Linked DNA regions of Xenopus tropicalis. The protein of the gene in region 1 interacts with the protein of each later gene in a biochemical or structural test. Links are inferred from orthologs where the notes say so. Each region holds a gene or a part of one and is shown on either strand. Other genes may lie near its edges.

Evidence for each region.
Region 2: the proteins of tax1bp3 (region 1) and arhgef16 form a complex in vitro, tested with the Homo sapiens proteins (2 studies listed by BioGRID and IntAct, with this or other methods). The link is inferred for Xenopus tropicalis from reciprocal best matches to the Homo sapiens genes TAX1BP3 and ARHGEF16.

Annotation. Positions count from the first base shown.
Region 1 is NC_030678.2:30,661,332-30,671,668, forward strand, and holds the start of tax1bp3 (tax1-binding protein 3), read right to left. Parts: upstream 5,887-10,337; 5' UTR 5,868-5,886; coding exon 5,829-5,867; intron 5,823-5,828; exon of another isoform or gene 5,604-5,822; coding exon of another isoform or gene 4,485-5,603; exon of another isoform or gene 3,703-4,484; intron 225-3,702; coding exon 105-224; intron 1-104. Other genes in the region: hornerin-like, read right to left, coding at 4,485-5,603. UniProt on the Homo sapiens protein: May regulate a number of protein-protein interactions by competing for PDZ domain binding sites. Binds CTNNB1 and may thereby act as an inhibitor of the Wnt signaling pathway. Competes with LIN7A for KCNJ4 binding, and thereby promotes KCNJ4 internalization.
Region 2 is NC_030683.2:101,739,874-101,749,602, forward strand, and holds part of arhgef16 (rho guanine nucleotide exchange factor 16), read right to left. Parts: intron 9,650-9,729; coding exon 9,520-9,649; intron 8,399-9,519; coding exon 8,324-8,398; intron 7,555-8,323; coding exon 7,462-7,554; intron 6,130-7,461; coding exon 5,978-6,129; intron 5,426-5,977; coding exon 5,219-5,425; intron 4,914-5,218; coding exon 4,837-4,913; intron 3,135-4,836; exon of another isoform or gene 3,010-3,134; intron 919-3,009; exon of another isoform or gene 91-918; intron 1-90. UniProt on the Homo sapiens protein: Guanyl-nucleotide exchange factor of the RHOG GTPase stimulating the exchange of RHOG-associated GDP for GTP. May play a role in chemotactic cell migration by mediating the activation of RAC1 by EPHA2.

The DNA.
Region 1 (10,337 bases):
GCAAATGTAAAGCACTCATATAAGCCATAGTAATCTTTGCAACTGTCATTACATGCTGAGCTATCTCACTCAAGTATCAATGCGCAATCACAAGAAGTTCCAACCTTGTCTGTCTTGTCCTCGGAGAAAGGGTTTTGTGCCGGGTCCTGGTCGATTCCTCCTCCAATGCTGAAGCCAAGGATCAGATTATCCCCTTGGTGCAATTTATAGATTTCAACCCGTTGCTACAGAAAAAAAGGAATGGAAATTAGTTCCAAATCAAGGACTGAGGTTTAACCCTTCTGGTTATTAGCCATCCCATAAACCCAGTCTGAATATCAGTAACAGTTCCATTCAGTGTAATTTCTTATTTGCTGTTCTTGAAACCAGAGCTGAATGAACTGCTTGACAATGTCCTGGCCAAAGAAAGGACCTTCAACCACTGGGCCAATGTAATTCTTAGCACCATCTTGTCCTCGAAAATACATTGTGTTGTGCATTTGCAGCCCCATGTTGTGAATCTCACCTACCACCACCACCCTGTATCAGGGGTCACTTAGCAACCCCTGCAGTTCCTTATGACTTACAACAGAGATTGGTAAAATTGGAGCTTGGGCCCCTGGCATTCACAATGATTGCTGAACCGCTCTCAGAGCAGCTGTACTTGATATGGGATGAGTGATAACAGGTATAATAGGGCAAAATGGTGAGAGTAAAACATGATATCACTGTTTCCTAATATGTTGGCCTTTGTTTATTTTTAAAGTATAACTTCATGGATCCCCGCCCCCCCCCCCCCCAAAAAAATGGTGTATTACCTTGGACCCGGCCCTGAGAAAAGAATGTGTTCATAGGTAATTGATAAAATAACTGCTAATTTGAAAACAGCACGAAACAGAATATGCAGGGGTTTGTGGAAGGCAGCTTGGCCTACTGCCGTTTTGGAGAGTTACCCAGATATGTGTTTCTATGCACCATATGCCAAACAGCCATGACTCATTGGTTAAACATCTCAGGATCTGGCTCACCCCAACAGAAACTTAGATACGTCTCTATCGCTTGGCCTTCAGCTAGGACTGTCACGCATTCCTCCTGTATCTAAGCCGTCTCTGTCAGAAGGGGGCCACATTTCTATAAGAACATATTCTACTCTATTCTATAACAACACTGCTGAAGAGACAGAGCCAAATGTATCCAATGCAGATATACATTTTTTCAGCAGCCAATACAATTTCTTAGGGTGAAGACACACAGAGCTACTTAGCAGCAGCTACTTTTCACAGCTACTAAACTCCAGAATATACCCTGCCATAGACAATACTGAGAATTGCCTCTGCTAAAACACACGTAGAGACAGTTATCAGTAAATGATCAGCATTGTCTATTTTAGTAGCCACTATAAGTAGCCACTACTAGTAGCTCTGTGTGTCTTCAACCTAAGAAATACAAAATATCCCTACTGTGCCCAACACAATGGTAATTAAAAGTCCAGCCAGCACCCAGAATTGTGATGCAACGTGTCCATAATTTATTTGTTTTTAATCCAAGACAGCAGATCTAAAGATAAAATAAGACTGCATTGTGTGGGCTTTTGAAAACCCACTGGTAGCAGCAGGCTGGCTGTTGGGACAATATTGCAGAATGGGGAAGAAACTGGTGGCTCCAGCCCTTTGGAACCTATGGAGAATGGTAGCAAAGCAAATAAAACCACTGAATAAAAGAGAACAAGTTCTCTGTACTTGATCTTCCATAAGCCTGACTTTGACCCTCGCAAGCACTGAAGAAGGAATGATAACGTGACTATAGAGTTGTATTCCATGGCCAGGATATCCAGCATTTGGTCAGACCCTCTTTAGGAAGGTTACAGCTATATAAATAAAGACACTGTCATGACATTCACTTGCAGTAGTTCCAATAGAAGTAATGGTCAAAACGGAGCTTAAAGTACAAAAATCACTTCTCTCCAACTGGAAGCTCACAGGCTTAATACAGGCCAAGGTCTCCGTGTAGATAATGAGCCCTTGGAGGACAGCATTTCTGCCTCAATGCCAGCCTTCCCCAGTAGATAAAAGGTGTATCTAACAGGGTGTAACCCTTAGACAAACATACTAGGAAAAGTAACACACCAGGGACCTCTGACCTGCCTTATATGAGTCACGCAGACATGCTGGTACAAGCGTGCCCGTGCTATGGCACTGATTTGGTGCAAATAGTTTGCAAAGACGAAGAATGCAACTTGTAGCACAGATACACCTGACCCCACCAGCTCTGTCATGTTTATGTAAGACACGCTGCTCTATTTATAATGTCAGCTAACAGATTTTTTGTTTTTAGTTAAGTGATCTATTCAGGTAGTAAAAATTGCAACCGACTTTAATATAATTGATTTTTTAAAAATTGCAAATTGCCCTTAAGAGGTGCCATAAGGATATACATTTAATTAATGTTTTGCTTGGCCTTTGTGACCTTAAGGTACCTATATACACAAAGGCTAATGACGGGCTGTATAGCTGCAGAGCTGAAAATACTGTAATTACAAGCCCAAGGCCTCAGGATATTTTACCCCTATCATTAGGCTCTATTATTAAAAATCAAATTTGCACCTGGGCAGTAACCCACAGCAAAGAAAAGATATCTTTTTTAATTTCACTGTTCTACCTGCAGTTGGCTGACAAATGCTAATCACTGACTGGATTCTATTGGCTACTGCCCAAGTGCATATTCGCCCAGTGTTGCTAAATGAGGGATCAGGGACACTTTGAGGTACCAGCAGGCCTTGGGCAATATTTCACTGGTAGGTCCCTACTGCTTGTTTGTACTTACTGAAGTAGAGATGGTGTGCCACAGCCATGGGAGTAGAAAAATGATAAATGGAAATGCCACAAGAAAAAAGGCAAAAATAATATAAATAACCATACTGTAGGGATGTACAGTAAAATGTAGGATGCTTCTGCCAAAAGTAAGCCCAGATGAAAAGTGTGCTAGTGGGCCCCCTGTCCTGATGGGTCCTGGGCAAATGCCCCTTTGGCCCAATTATTGAAACAGCCCTGCAAAGTCGGAAACCCTCACTGGGACGACAAGACAAAGCACAAAGGTAACTGGCTCCGCTGTATCCAGGCCTACATCTAATGCCTGCAGGGGAATTCCTTCCCCTAATAAAAGCCTTGCAGTTACCAACTGCATTTAGTCTGCTCACAAAGGCCTCACTATGCAGAGGTTAAAGTGTCTGCCCCGGGCCCCACAGATGGGAACTCTGATATCAAACTGGCTGTATTTAAGAGGATGATGAGGCTCGGTACCGGATAACTCTTCTACACGCCCAGGGAATATTACCAGCGTAAATACATACACACGTATGATAATGCATACTGTTAGCTTTCATTTGTACCGGGCTGATGATTCAGTTTATACCTCCAGGAGATACATTTATTGAATATTCAATTATTTACTTTGATTCAGGCTATGAAAATCAAGTGCACCTGTAAATGCTATCACTTTTATTTCTATATTCTAATTCTAATGTTGCAAAACTATAAATTAACCACCTTTGCAAGCCTGCTAAAACTCATAAAGCCATCGTTGTTAAATGGGTACAGGTAGTTCACCTTAAAATTAACTTTAAATATGATGTAGAAATTGATATTCTGAGACAGTTTGCAATTTGTCTTAATTTTTATTTTTTATAGTTTTCCAGTAATTTAGCTTTATAACAGCTCTCCAGTTTGGTATTGGAGCAGTTATCTGGTTGCTAGGGGTTTATTTATCCTAGCAACCAAGCAGTAGGTTAAACAAGAGACATGAAAATGAATTGATAGAGGAATTCATTATAAAAGGGAGGTTAACTGGGAGTGAGAAAAAGTCAAAATATGCCCTGGCATTTCAAGAACACAGAAGCCCAAACATAATTAAATAATAATATGGCATCCTATAGCTGCCGCTCTGGCATTTGCCAGAATCTCCAGATTGCCAGTCTGCTTTGGAGTACCATCAGAAAAGCATTGAGAAACCACCCTTAAATGAAATGAAACCACCCTTAAAGGGCAAGCAAATAGAAAAATAAATGGGGAGTGGAAAATTGTTAGGCATCCACCAGTGCCTAAAAGTGCTTATGTCCTACCATATGCCAGCGCTCCTCATATAGCGGGGAAGGAAAACAGGGGGATATTCTCCTTACAGTAGATGACAGGGCTGTCCAGCTGGAAGCCCCAAACGCCAGATGTGGCCCATCCACAACATTTTTGTATGGCCCCCAGCATGCACAAGGTCTTCACATACCTCATGGGAGGACATAATAATCTGCCCCACACACACAAGAAATAGTGAGTTTACACTTTACATAATATTAATAACAAATAGTAAACGCCATGGGATTTTACAGTCTGACCATGGCAGAACATCTCCAACCAGCTATAATATGACTGTTCAGCAGACTATTTGGGAGTTTACAAATCCAAGGGATGATGTGGTAATCTCTTGCCCTTCAGCAGAGTGACCACAAAGGTTGTTTAATGGTTGCTTGTTTTACAGGGCAGGGAATGGCGGGTGCCTGAACTACAGCCCAGGGAATGGTGGGTGCCTGAACTACAGCCCAGGGAATGGCGGGTGCCTGAACTACAGCCCAGGGAATGGCGGGTGCCTGAACTACAGCCCAGGGAATGGCGGGTGCCTGAACTACAGCCCAGGGAATGGCGGGTGCCTGAACTACAGCCCAGGGAATGGCGGGTGCCTGAACTACAGCCCAGGGAATGGCGGGTGCCTGAACTACAGCCCAGGGAATGGCGGGTGCCTGAACTACAGCCCAGGGAATGGCGGGTGCCTGAACTACAGCCCAGGGAATGGCGGGTGCCTGAACTACAGCCCAGGGAATGGCGGGTGCCTGAACTACAGCCCAGGGAATGGCGGGTGCCTGAACTACAGCCCAGGGAATGGCGGGTGCCTGAACTACAAACCAGGGAACAGCGGGTGCCTGAACTACAAACCAGGGAACAGCGGGCGCTTGCACTACAGCCCAGGGAACGGCGGGTGCCTGAACTACAGCCCTGGGAATGGCGGGTGCCTGAACTACAGCCCAAGGAACAGTGGGTGCCTGAACTACAGCCCTGGGAATGGCGGGTGCCTGAACTACAGCCCAAGGAACAGTGGGCGCTTGCACTACAGCCCAAGGAACGGCGGGCATTTGCACTACAGCCCAGGGAACGGCGGGCGCTTGCACTACAGCCCAGGGAACGGCGGGCGCTTGCACTAAAGCTCAGGGAACGGCAGGCATTTCCACTACAGCTCAGGGAACGGTGGGCGCTTGCACTACAGCCCAGGGAACGGTGGGCGCTTGCACTACAGCCCAGGGAACGGTGGGCGCTTGCACTACAGCCCAGGGAACGGTGGGCGCTTGCACTACAGCCCAGGGAACGGTGGGCGCTTGCACTACAGCCCAGGGAACGGTGGGCGCTTGCACTACAGCCCAGGGAACGGTGGGCGCTTGCAATACAGCCCAGGGAACGGTGGGCATTTGCACTACAGCCCAGGGAACAGTGGGCATTTGCACTACAGCCCAGGGAACAGAAATGATGGGGAGGAAGGCTCTGCCCTACAGTACAAGGAATCATCAGCTGGGGGCGCTGTTGCATTGTAGCTGATGGAAGTTGGGGCAGCGCTTGCCTGTAAGACACAATGGAATGACGGGGGGCTCCTGAAGTTTCGGAGCGGGGGTGTGAGCATTACGTAAGGCTCAATACAGACACTAGCGGCGGGCAGGTTGTGTAAGCCCATATAACAGGGTACATGGAAGGGAAGGGAGGTACAAGCCGAATTGGGCCCCGTCCCTGCGGCTCCCCCGATTCACCCAAACTCACCACTACAGCAGTGACCGGCTGGCCCGGGATGTAAGACATGGCTGCTAGCTCACTCCGGCAACACCCGAGCGGGACAAAGTATGCCCGGGCCTCGGCCACGCCCACTCCTCCGGAATGATGATCCGCCCGCACACTAACTGCACGCATGTAGGCACGCCTCCTCATTAATATTAATCCCACACACCCACCTACACCCCTCCCTGTAACCATGTGTGTGCCGGGGCGGCACTGTCATCTGATCCGGCTGCCTGCTAACTACTCCTACTTCCACATTCTCTGCAGTTTATATGGGGATCCTGGGAAATGTAGTTCGGAACTGTTGCCTGCCACCATCAACCCCTGATAAAGTTCTATTATTGGCGTTTGAAAATATTGGTTCATTGTGTTTTGTATGGGGCTTTCTGCAGCTATAACAATGAGCCGTATTGGGACTGTGGGGAGTTATTACTGTTTCTCCTCAGGACTGGGGCACCTGCTCTGGTAGCACTACAGCAGCATACCAGCAACACTAGCACAGAGCTATGATATCCTGTGTCCATTACAGCCCCATAAATGCTTCTTGGTAATGTACTTTGTGTCCCCTTGTGGTAAAATATAAGGCTATTAGAAGTCACCTGTATGAAAGAGCATTTATATAAAGTAATTGTAAATGGTCATGGGACTCCTTGGTGACTTATAATACCCTAATAGTGTAAAATAATGTCGACTTTATTCGCTATATAAATGGTACTTAATGATGTCATCAGTCATCATAGGTGCTTAGTGATGTAATTCTGCACATGATGCATTTAAGCAGTCGGCCATGTATTTTTATATGGTCATTAGGTTGGGACTGAAATTTGTGGGTTCTGGCAAATGCCAGAGGGGCTGCTGTAAGGCGCCATAGACAGTCACTATTTATTGGGCTGGTAGGGGGCTGTTTGGCCTCTGTGTACTTGTAATGCCAGCGCCTTATTTGATGGTCAGATGGGACCTTATGGTCATGGAACTTGTTGGTGACTTATAATATATTTATATTTTACAGTAGGAGGTACATTATTCACTATATTATCACCTTGTATAATCACATTACCTTTGGGCATAGTACTACATTTTGGATTGTAAACTCTATAGGGCAGGGATCTCCTCCTTCTTGTCTCTTAAAATGTAACTGTATTTTTTGCATTTACATTCTATTATCTTTTATATTAATGTAAAATGCTGTGTACAGAATTAGTGCTATATAAAAATATATACTGTACATTCATGTTTTAGACCTGCCTTATTGTCCAGTACTATAAAAGGAGTTATATAATCCCATATATCTATCCAATCAATCTAATCTCTCTCATCATCTATCATTTCTCTCTGTTTAGCTATCAAATCGATTTATATTTACCTAATTTAGTAATGAATCCAATCTACCCACCAATCTAAGATTATTTATCTGTCTAATCTATCTATTGGCAATGTTTATTAGCCTTTAGGGCTCTGGCAGACGGGGAGACTAGTCGCCCGCGACTAATCTCCCCGAAATACCATCCCACTGGTGAGTATGTAAATCGCCGGTGGGATGGCATACACGGCGCCGCGATTTCCCCCGAAATTGCAGAAGTTTCTTTTCAAGGCAACTTCCATGAATTTGGGGAAATTGCGGCGTGCGTATGCCATCCCACCAGCGAATTACATTTTCACCGGTGGGATGGCATTTCGGGGAGATTTGTCGCGGGCAACTAGTCTCCCCGTCTGCCAGAGCCCTTAAGCACACAAGCCAAATTCATCATTGCTGTTCAATAGACAGGTCACTGAGCCAGTAGTACAAACACATTTGCTGACATGTTTTTATCTTCGATGCGTTGATTGAGCAATTGTCCTCTGAAAGCATCACAGAAGGCTGTATTTGTTAGGCTTATGAACAGCGTGCAGGACACAACACTGTGGTGGTCTCCGCTAATATCATCCAGCATCACAGGTGCTTCTCAAGCTTGAGCAAGCGTATACACACAAACATCATTTTAAAGGGGGCCCATTGCAAAGGTGAGGATTTAATATATACTTCATCTCATGGCACAAATAAACTTTAAAACAAAATCAATTTTAAATTTTTTACCATTTATTAAATAACCAGGTTATTCTCCTCATTCCCTCCAATGTCTAGGTAAAGGGGGCACAAACGAATGTCTAGTACCTGTCAATCAAAATCAGAGAGGGCTGTATAAATAGATACATATTGCTGAGAGGGGCTAATGAAAGAGTAACTTAATATATTGAACATTTCTTATTTCTGTGAAATGAAGATCATATTATATCTAGGGCTGCACTGAATTCAGGATTTGGTTTGGCCGAATCCAAGTGCCTGGCTGAACCAAATCCAAATCTTTAAAATCACGTGACTTTTCATAGCAAGAGTGTTTAAGTTAAACAATTTTTACCTAATGCATGAGTCCTCTAACATTTCTGTAGCCTAATCTGCATTTGGAAATTGGAAATTAGGGTTTGAATTCTAGAAAATCTTTCTCAAAATATTTGGGCGAATCCCAAAATCCCCCATTACATCTTCATTTTTCCTTTAAAAAAATGATTCACTCTACATAATCTCTGTGGTTTTAATGTTATGGTACTTATTGTACAGTGCTGCAGAATATGTTGGCGCTTTATAAATAAATGTTAATAATAGTTCCCTATAATACTCATGCTAGTATCCCAGCATTGAAATGAACTGAGTAAGTACATCACTGGCAACGGAGAATCTCAAAGCATATTTATTCACATTTCTGTTGTAAGGACGATTTCAAACAATTGTTTAAACGTTTAATACCATGGACTTTGCATCAGATCTAACAAAAGGTTTTGTATTCAACAATTCATGGGTTTTTATCTGCAAAGGAAGAGAACAGTGGTGTGACTTCTTCCTCCAGGCAAAACAAGGGCTCTCTAATACTAACTAAACAACAAAATATTCAAAGGGCTTAAAACTAGGACTGTACATTTGTACTCAGATGTGCTGAAAGATAACTGATTGCTTTAGTTAAAGCAGTGACCTTGAGCTTGGCAGCTGCTAAAATAGTGAGCCCTAGTGGTGAGAGGATTTGGCTTGCCTACAAAAGATTTCAATAGACCTGTTCACAGATTCCGTTGTTTCTAAGAAGCACAGAAAAAAAACCCTAAGGTTCTTGGGAAATACAAAGTCACACCATAGGTGTTTGCTTTGCCTTTTGCCAAAGTAGATTTGCAAGAGCTAGTACTAGTGCTGCAGCATTTCTGTAAATAAAGAAGTATACCCCTTTTTTCAACATTAGGTCAATGATCACAACTTTGCCTTTTGTTTTAGTTATGAAATTTGTTATTTCTTGTACTAAACAGGGAAAACTAAAAGTTATAAGTAAAGGCACATTCTACTTTCTGATTCATATGAGCACAATCTAAGCTCGACCAGTGATTTGTTTTCATTTTGCTTGTCAGTAGAGGAAGCAGAGTATAACTTTGATCTTTAGATTTTGGCCTGTTTAGTGCAAGACGTAAAACAATAGACAAAAAGTATGCTGAGCACTAGACATTACAATTATACATTAAGCTAATGTTGAAAAAAGGGGGTATATTGCCCCTGTAACCGTATGCGAATGAGCTACGTATGGGCTGGTCTAATTTATGCCCCTACAGGACATGTGGCAGGACCAATCAATGTACACAGCCTATGCACTTGTCCTTTATTTTTCCCTGACTTTAGATGAGAATGACAGGTCGTTGCAATTGTATTTCCAGTGACAGGTGATGTAACCAAAAACAAGGAGATTAAACCAGGTACATGTGGAAAGCCCAGGCCATCAAAGTTAATTGCTGTTGAGGGGAACTACACTATGTTGGAGGCTGCACTCAAGCCACCCCCCTCCAAGGGGCCTGTGCTGTGGTGTAATTACGCCACTGCTTCCAAAGAGTGAGGTTTAATGGCAATGCTATGTTAAACTCAACACTGGAGGTGCAAAGGTGACGCCACCTTATCCATTATACCATCAAGGAATACATATGCTGTATGGCTGATTCATTAGATTACATGCATTTTGTATAATACCATTATCTGTATACCATGTCTATTTTAGAGGTGCAAACTCTATCAAACCTTTAACGTCAATGTAATCCAAAAGCATACATTCCTGTTTTTGTTTCAGCCACTATGAAATAAATATAAGAAAGAAAAAAACAATATATGAAATTCAATGTGGACCTGTGATGAATGCATAGCTTTAGTACATAGGCCAATATGTTGTATTGCTTAGCCCAAAACACACATCAATCCGGGGATTTTAATTATTCCCATTCGCATGGGTAGGTTGAGTAGATCCATGGTAACGTGGGCTATACTGGTTTGGAAGATATATCCCAAAAATTTAATATGTGCTCAATCACTTCTTTCATTAATTGCAAATATTCTAGATGTGTACAGCAAATTTAATTAGAGAACATATCTATATAATATGATCTATATAAGTTACTAACAGGAACCAAGCAGCAGGTTCGGTATTTTAAAAACTA
Region 2 (9,729 bases), on another chromosome or scaffold:
CACAAAACTATTTAGAGACATACCATTTGACAGCTGTGAAATTCACCGCAAGTGGAAAATACCTGCTAAACCATAGCAGAGAATCCGGTCTCTATACATATCAGTATCTGGAACTAATGCAACATGAACATTACAAGGTAGAAGATATGCATCATGAAGGAAGTACTATAGGCAGAAACCATGTGAGCCCTGTCAGACCTTTATGAGTCCTATATGTGCTTATGCTGACCTCTTGACCGCTAGTAGCACTCTATCCCATAATCTTTAAAGGTTGCTCTCATGCCGAGGTCACATACTAGAATGATAACCCTCCACAAGAGTAACCTAATTCCAGGAATCTCAGGTACTGCAATGACAAAACAGTCCCTAATTTTTGGGCTATATGCTGTCCCTTTATGGGGACTAGCATAAAATGAGACAAGCAGGGCAACCCATGACAGAAGACATGAACGGCAATGCCACTACATATGATATACCCTGGACGGGAAGGCATACTCATAGCCACCATGCCGCTAAACTAATATATAGCATAGGAACAGGAAGACAATCCCAGCCAATGTAGACAACTGGGTAGGAATAAGGAATGTCTTTCAAGTATGAGTTAAGGTTAGAGCTTCTAGACCTAACCAGTGTGTATGCCCTGTATCCGGACTAATTTGATGGAAGTCAAAAACACCCTGTTTCAAGCTTCCCAGCTGGAGGCACCCTCACCCAAGGGAGAATACTTCAGGGCAAGTAATTTACTGTTGCGCAGGCAATACTATGGGCCAGATAACTGGGCCCTAGGCAGGGAGATGTAGGTAGAACTTACCTCTAGAGACTATGATGGCACAGTCCATAAATTGGAAAGCATAGGTCATCCCAAGCAGTGCGAATGTGACATCCCTTGAGAGACCAGGTCATTCCCTGCCATATGCCCTGCAATCAGAACAGTGTATAACAGAAAACCCAAAGAGCAAACACGTGTCCTCTTGGGGGAACTAGGTATGGAATGGCAGCTACCCCAAAACATTTACTTACAGCATGTAATTGGAAGCCAGGTGAACCTTTATATATTCTCAAGCCCTGTAGAATGTATACAATATGCCTAAACAGCTGTAATCCCACAGCCAATTCAATGCAAGGGTTAGACCCTCCGAACCCAACAGAAGTGACAATGATAGCTTAGCAAGGTAATGCATAGTCTATTTAACGGCTGCTTGCTGGGCAAAAAACACCTAACCCCTGTCAACAAAAAACAGCTTCGAAAACAAGCGTTTAGCTGTGAAGCTATTCAAGGCAGAGAAGATACCCAGCAACATAATTAAGATGTAATGTACATGCCATCTTATTACCCTGCTTGAGCTACTGCGATCCCGCAGATGCCATGAGATTGGCTGCAACCTGCCAGCCTTTAGCTCCCAAGAGGCAATACCAACAAGTGTACTGGCACCTTTCAAAAAAGGCTAGTGTTATACACTAGCAATGCGGAGATTCATGAACACACTGATGGGTTTGCTTCAAACCGGTCATGGAGCCAGCCCCTATTTAACTATTTAATGTTTTTGGACTGACTTACCATGTAGATCAAACTCATGAGAGAGCCCTGTCGAACATGCAAGTCAGATGCTGTTCGCCAAGTGTATATACTACTAAAGTGATGCCTCCCTGCAGCACAAAGGAACGCATGTTGCTGGGCTCTAGAATAACTGCAAACTCAGAGGAATGTTTGTTTTGCAGCATATTATGGATCATGGTTTTATGCCAGGCTCAATAATTACTACAGGCCCAATGGCCCCACAGTTGAACTACAGCATGTGAGCATAACCCTTTTGGTTCAGATGTAGTTATAACCGTAATGCATTCCGCTTGCATACCCACAGGGCCCAATGAAACCTGCAGCTTGGCCCATACATACTACCTGGTCTTAGAAGTACTGCAAAAAAGGCCTACAAAACCCAGAACTGGCAACAGCTTATGAAGCTTATCAATAATAGGACACAGTGAACCATGAATTGTGCTGCAGCTTTAGGCATGCTAATAGCACAGATAAAAGAAATGCTGGAGATAGTACTCTGTTTGGGCTGCAGATTCATAAACATGCACATTGCCCAGTACAGCAAACATTCAGTCAGCTAAAGCTCTAGGTATGCTTACTGCCCAAACTGGTACCAGACTCTGGTTGCTGCAGAAACTAATGAATATTATTTTGTACCCCGGCATTTGCAGTTTAAGCATGCATAATACAGGAACCATGAATTGTGCTGCAGCTTTAGGCATGCTAATAGCACATATTTGGAGATGCTAGAGATGCACTCTGTTTGGGCTGCAGATTCATGAACATGCACATTGCCCAGTACAGCAAACATTCAGTCAGCTAAAGCTTTAGGTATGCTTACTGCCCAAATTGTTACCAGCCAATGGTTGCTGAAAAACTAATGAATATTATCTGGTACCCAGACATTTGCAGTTTAAGCATGCATAATACAGGGTTCTACAGGGTTGCTGAAGAACTAATGAATATTATCTGGTACCCAGACATTTGCAGTTTAAGCATACATAATACAGGGTTCTAAACCTTAGAAAAGTGAAAAAAAAAAAAAAAAAAATCTGCTGGTGATTATTGTACAGAGAAACATACAGCATAAGTATAGGAACACTTAATGGCAATGTGCCCATGCATAGCCTGAAAGAAAACTACATGGCAATACACTATTAACACATATGCAGATAATGCTAATCACAAATCAATAATTGTGTTAGTTTACTGGTAGCAACACAAGCCTGGCCTGGGGACCCCAAAGCACGGCCAATAATTGCTGCTAGCTGACAAGGTAGGATTACAGCCCTCTGCAGTGTGCTACAAAACACCTTTAAGTGATCAGAATAAAGGGCTCTCGATTTCTATAATACTATAGCTCTCTAAGCCAATAGTTATGGCCTACCTTAGGCATCAAAAACTGGAAAGAGGTTCCTAAAGGAGGACTGATATAGGAAACCAGCAAACAAAATCAGTATACAGAACCTTACCTTCCCAGCCTATGGTGCTATACTCTGGGAACTCAGGACTGGAATGAGAGCCACAACACCTTTGGCTAATTACATAATTACCTTCAGCAGAGGTACTCTGGTTACACCCCAATTAGCCAGTAGGGTTATACTACAGACCCTTATACAGAGTTTTAAACATAATTAGCCAGGCTACTACTAGCGAGGCACCTGAACAACTTCAGCCCTAATGCAGCAATACAATCTGGCTACAATCGTGATGGCAAAGTACTGGATCCATGTGCATACACATAATTATACCCAGCTAATGCAGATACAGATCTCAGAGTTACTTCAACTCTATAATGCCCTGACTACTATAAACACCTTCCACAGTAAGTGAAATATTAGTGCATTACCTGGTGTAGTAGCAGTAGCCATAACACAGAACTGGTGCAACTCTCTGGGAAGCTCAGCTGGAGTGTAGCTGATCACGTAATCACATTCACCTGAGACTACTCAGGAATGCATCTAATTAGCCAGTTCTTAGTAGTAACTACACTACAGTGCCCTAGCAACCATAACACAATGCGGGCAGCTGAAAGGAGTTGACGCATTACCCCATGTATCAGCAAGTAGCCATGACACAGGACTGCTGCAATCTCTGGAAAGCTCAGGTAGAGTGTAGCTTAGCACATAATCACATTCACCTGAGGCTACTCAGGAATGCATTTCATTAGGCAGTTCCCAAGGTTACTACATGGCTCTGCCCTAGCAACTGTAACACAATCCAGAGCAACTGAAAGGTTCAATGAATCACCCAATCTGTCTGCAAGTAACCATAATATTTGACTGGTTACATTCAGCTAAAGCTATCCAGGTATGTAGCAACTAGCAGGCAAACTAACCCATTTGTAGTACATAATGCAGCCCAATGTTTAAAGACAGTGGGGTGTCAGGCCCTTTTTTTTTTTTTTTTTTTTTTTTTTTTAAACACCTCTTAATACAAAACCTTAGGAAAGACTTTGTGAGGGAGGCAGTAGGCTTTGAACTCTGGCTCTATTAAAAAAAAAAAAATCTCTCCACACAGTAGAACAAAAAGGAATATGGAGATCGCCAGACTCAGGCCACTAACTAAATGTTGAGGACTGCTAACTTCCACCTCCCTCGCCCATCCGCAAAAATATTAAGTGTGTCGGGCCACACACCATTGCCACCAGACACTCACGGCCTGGGAGGGCATACGGATGGGGGGACTAGCACTTGCCATTGGATGCCATTATGACAAACCAGAAAGGCACATGGGATCAAATATACCAACAGCATTGTCCTACCTTATCAAGCAGAACAGAGCCGAAGATCCCAGGATATGAGGTAATGTGCAGGGGAAAAGATCTCATGGACCAAAAAACCCCAGTCCCTAGGTGCCATTTCCGGTCACCTAATGCTTTCCCAAGGCTAAAAAGCAAAAACGTTGCTTCCAATGGAGCAAGGAAAGCAGAAGGAAAAAAAGACGCCATAGAGGGGGTGGGGGTGGCTTTTAAAGCTTTGGGGAGGATCCTTCTGATGGGGCATGGGGGCGGGGATATCCCAGATAGTGCTGATATGGAGTACGACCAGGGAAATCACAGGAGTTCCATGACCACATAAAAGCACAAGGCCGCAGGCAGCATTTACCGTTCAGTTATCTGAAACCAGACACCGATTGGTTGATATGGGCTAACTTTATATTGTTTATTACACTAGCACATTTTTGCCTAAATCATTACATCGTTTTATTTTTCTTTAAAATAATCATCATTCTAAATAAAGCACAAACAAGCAGGCTCTACCTTCTGTGCCATGGTGATCACTTCCATATTTTCTTACCTCCTCTCCTAGATCTGCTGTTCTCTTTGTTGTCTTCCTTCCGCTCAAGTGCAGCAACCCACCGTGCTCTATCACTCCTGCATATAAACATGCGTAATGAGATCTCGCCTTGGAATGCCCAACTTTGGACCTTTGTTTTTGTTGAACTACAACTCCTATAGTCTTGATACTCTCTGCCACAGGATGCTGCAGGTAGGTTGGACAATGCCTATCAGATAGTTGGTATTCGCTCAGTGCCCAGATATGCGTTGTATACTGAGCTATCGTTAGTGGGATCTGAGCATATATTTTACCTTTATCTAGTTATAAATACTGCTAGCTCTCTCATTTATTCAATAAACCTGCAATGCAAAAAGTAACAGGTACAATGGCAGATACTTACAGACTGTCAGCCGCCAACACAATTTCATCCTGTTTCCCTTCACTGTTCTTACTGATATGAATCTGGAACAAGAAGGGCCCATTTGGACTACGGGGGCCACTTGTCCCAGTCTTTGCAGGAGGCGATAGCTGTGGGTCACCATTTTCTATTTTAGCCACAGCAAACTGATCCATCATGACATAATCTGTTACAATGTAGTTTTCCTCACTGAAAACATAAAAAAAAACATGCAACAACTACAACAATAGTAGAAACTACACAAAAGGAAATACTATAAGGGTTTTCTTTTACTTGTAAGTGATACAAAATGGCTTCACATATTAGCATCAAAAATCTGTTTAGGAATTTGCACAGAGAATAGAGCCAGCCTAAGGGCTTATTCTTTAACATTATCTGTGGAAACCCCCAATCCGTAGCTCTGTCTAGTGGTACATTCCAGTCTACCTTCAATACCAAGCAATGGTCTTGCCTACCTTTAAAAAACATTCCATTAAATGGTTCTTTCCTAGTACTGCCAGTCTGGCACCACCCATTATTTGTTCTTAGGATGAAACATTCCCTGTAGCCTTCTGTAACTGCCCCCACCCCCTCACTTTGCCCTTCACCTGAGCCTAGGAAATTACCATCTGTAGCGCACGTTCATTTTTATTTTTTTTTTTTTAATTTGAAGTTTTTATTAGTTTTAGAGAACAAACATTTGTATATTTTGAAACACACAGTAGAATAGGTTGGTGTATCATATATTCATAGTAACATCACCTTTTTTTCTTTGTTATTATAAGGATGTCATTGAATAAGAAGAGATAGCAAGAAGTCTTTCCAAAGCCTTTCCAGAAAACTCCAGATTCCTCTACAAGGTTAAGTTCACCTCTCTTCAGCAACCAGCGCGAGGCAGAAATGAGTGGAAAAGGCTAATTTAGGAAAGCAAAAGAAAAAATGAATCCTTCTTCACAAACGGAATGGTCTGAAAGTCTGCCAAATGGTAACAAGGTTCATTCCTTGTCAAAAGGAAATCTGAGAAACCACCTTTTCATAATGACACATACATGAATATCACAATAGTCTAATTAGTATATAATACAGACACAGCTCTAAAACCACTTCAATATAGCATCAGATTTTAATAATCAGCCCTGTAGCTTTAGCTCATTTGCTGCTTGAAAATTTGTGACAGCCCCTAAGCTCGGATTTGCAAAAGCTGCCCAGATCACACTAAGGGGCACATTCACCAAAGTACGAGTTCGAATCCCGAAATGGGTAAAATTCGGATTGGATACGATAATTTCTGATGATCGCAAATATCACGATAATATCATATTGGCGATCTGAAAGTCACAAAATTTTCGTATAGAACGATCATAATTGGTAAAACCTTTCCGACTTTGATCCTACTGTGCATGATTTTGGAAGCCTCCCATAGGACTCAATGGCACTCTGCAGCTCCGACCTGGCTCAAGGAAAGTCATGATACCGAAGCTTAAATGACAATACGATTTTGTCGCAAAAATTTTGTCGCAAAGTACGAAAAAGTCTGATTCGGACTGATTGTACATTAATAAATCTGCCCCTTAGTATGTGCAAAGTTGCTTAACAAAATCCAAAAACCCTGTGCACAACTTTGAACTACATCTTGGGTCTCTTATCTGGAAACCCACTATCCAGAAATTCCAAAATTATTTGAAGGCCATCCCCCGTAGACTCCATTTTAATCAAACAATTTGCATTTTTAAAAAACTATTTCCTTGTTCTCTGTAATAACAAAACAGTACCTTGTACTTGATCCCAGTGAAGATATAATTAATCTTTACTGGAGGCAAATAATCCTACTGGGGATGCAACATTCAGTTTACAAAATATAGCAATTTTAGCCATATTTATTTTTAGGGATTAATTCTCCTTTGATGACTTTTTCTAAAATAGCTAAAAAAAAAAATGAAACTGGGAAGAGCTCTTGGTGCACATTTACTTTGCCCCAATGATAACACCTGCCGTACATAACAGACAATATTCTGAGCACAAAACACGGTTCTGTAAAAGTTATTCTGCCCAGTGTGTACATGAGAAAACATGGCCTCAGAGTTTTACAATTGAGAACAAACAGATGATGATAGCTGAATGCAGAATTAGCTGCTCCTTACTGTAGGTACAAAACCTAAGTAAATGCAGCTGCTCATGTGTATACTGGTTATGCATAAATATGGAAATACACTTTTTTTTAAAATTTTTGTAAACAGACTTCCTACCTTGATCTTTCCGAACTCAAGCTGCGTTTGCAGGGTGTACATCTGTTCTGTCCTTTCCATCTTCCGTGCCCCTTCATTGCACTGCTTAACCAACTGTTAACAGAAACCAATAGAAAAACATGTGTTTACCTATCTGCAAAGGGATTCAGGAGGTAATTGCTTGGTTCATAAAGCACCACAAGAAATTGCTTTTCTAATAACATATTTAATAAGCAACCAGCAGTGTCCCCGAGCAAACTTGCCTACGTATTTAAATAAACTTTATTTTCTGGATTTGACCAAATTTGGTCATTATCTTAGTAATAGAATTTTTTTAAATTGCTATGCATGGTGTTAATTCACATGCAAGGACTACATGAACCCCATGCTGTCTCTAATTTACCTTGGAAAAAAGCTCTCTGTTCTCAGTAAACGAGTGAGAGCATCGGGTCCATGTCAGATTGTGGACAGGACCTGATAAATTGCTTGTAGGGGAATCAGAAGCTGCTTCCCTCCAGCTGGCAGCTTATCGCTAAAATGTGGAGCTAGGAGACGCAATTAAATTTTCAGAGGTGCTTCTCACCAGGACAACTGGAAGCATTCTGGACAGGGTTCTACCACCATCTTACATTTAATTAGTAAGCAAAATTGTGTCCGAAATAAAATTTTTTTACACATAACCAGCAGATGATCCCTTTCTTAAACAGTGCTTATAACCTTAGGTCCCCTCCAAACTGCACCTGTCACTGGACTTGGTTCAAACCTGAAGGAAACTGGTGCAAGTATTTGGGTTCAGACAAGGCTCAACTCTGCATCAGTTCTGCTGTGATAGAAAATACATTAGTTTATACAAAAAGCAGTGCTAAAAAGGGCTCCAGCTAACCTTGCTTAAGGCTTTCAGGGCATGAGTTGTCTCTCCATATTCTTTAGTGCGCATGTCCATTTTTTGGCAAATAGTCTAGGGAAAAAAGCATACAACAATAACAAAAATCACAATTTGTTATGGCAAATAAATGTTGAGAATAAATTGCACCCATAGCTAAAAAGACCTTTTCTTTCATTATTCTAATATCATTAATCAAATCAAATTTTACTGCTTAATATGATATTTCAGCAAATTGTGTATCATGTTACTGCATAAATCAGTTCTACCAAGATGTTGGGAACCACAATTAAAGGTTGCCATACACAGGCAGATTTAAGCTGCCCATTATGGTCCTTCAGGTCGATTTTGTAGCTTATCTGCCCATGCACGGTTAATGTTGAGTCTAAACCCTGTGTAAGATCATTGCTGTAAAAAAGGCATGAGCAGTTGCCCAGATAATCACCAGTTCTACAGGATAGGGCAAGGCACATAATTCACTACTGCACCCAAGCCATGGAGGGATCAATTTCTGGAATGTGCCAGAGTTTTTCCTATTTCTGCCCTTTTCAATTCTGCCCTCACCCTTTTCCTGCTGTTTCTCCAAACTTACTTTTCCTCTGTTCTCTTCCACCATTTTTAATACATTTTCTTGTGCATACACTTTTTCTTTTCTTCATTTTTCTCCCCCCTTTAGTTTGTGGTTATTCAGCATTGGACTGGGTGAGTGGTGGAGAGAGATCACTGTATGAGATGTTTAATAACTTACTATCTGTAACTTTGTATATCAAGATTACTAACTAAAATAGAATCCTGGCAGGCAAGAGAGAGGGGTGCCACCAGAGGCAGAGAAGTTGGACGCAGCATGGGCAACTGCAGGTGTAAACAGGGTTCCCTTCTGCCTACACAACTGCATACTGTGCCTAAGTAATAGTTAACAGGGGCAAAGGCAATATTTACATCAACTGCTACAATGACAATAACAGATTGTAAAAAGGGTTGATGGGAATGATTCTGGGTGGGCCCACTAGTAGATGTTCTGGTACCCTGGCAGACCAAACTTACCCTATTCTTTTCTGTTGTTATTTCTTTTATCTCAACCCTTTCCCATTCCATTATGCCTTAACCAAGTCAGCTCAGACTAGGGAACATTTGTGCAATATGGCAGCTTCGCCACACGTTCAATAAATGTTAATGTAAATGTTCAGACTACTTACATCCATCAGTAGAGGAAGACGTGTAACTCTCTGCATTGGCAAAATTAGGAATGAAAACATGGGCAGGCCACCGCATTCCGCCTTCATTTCGATTTGCTTTAAGGTGTCTTTAAATGTCCCATTGGTGGACCTGAAATCGCCATACAGTGAGTTATGAACTGCAGTTACAGCAATGAGAAGCAAGGTGTGTTATTATAATGCATACAAAAC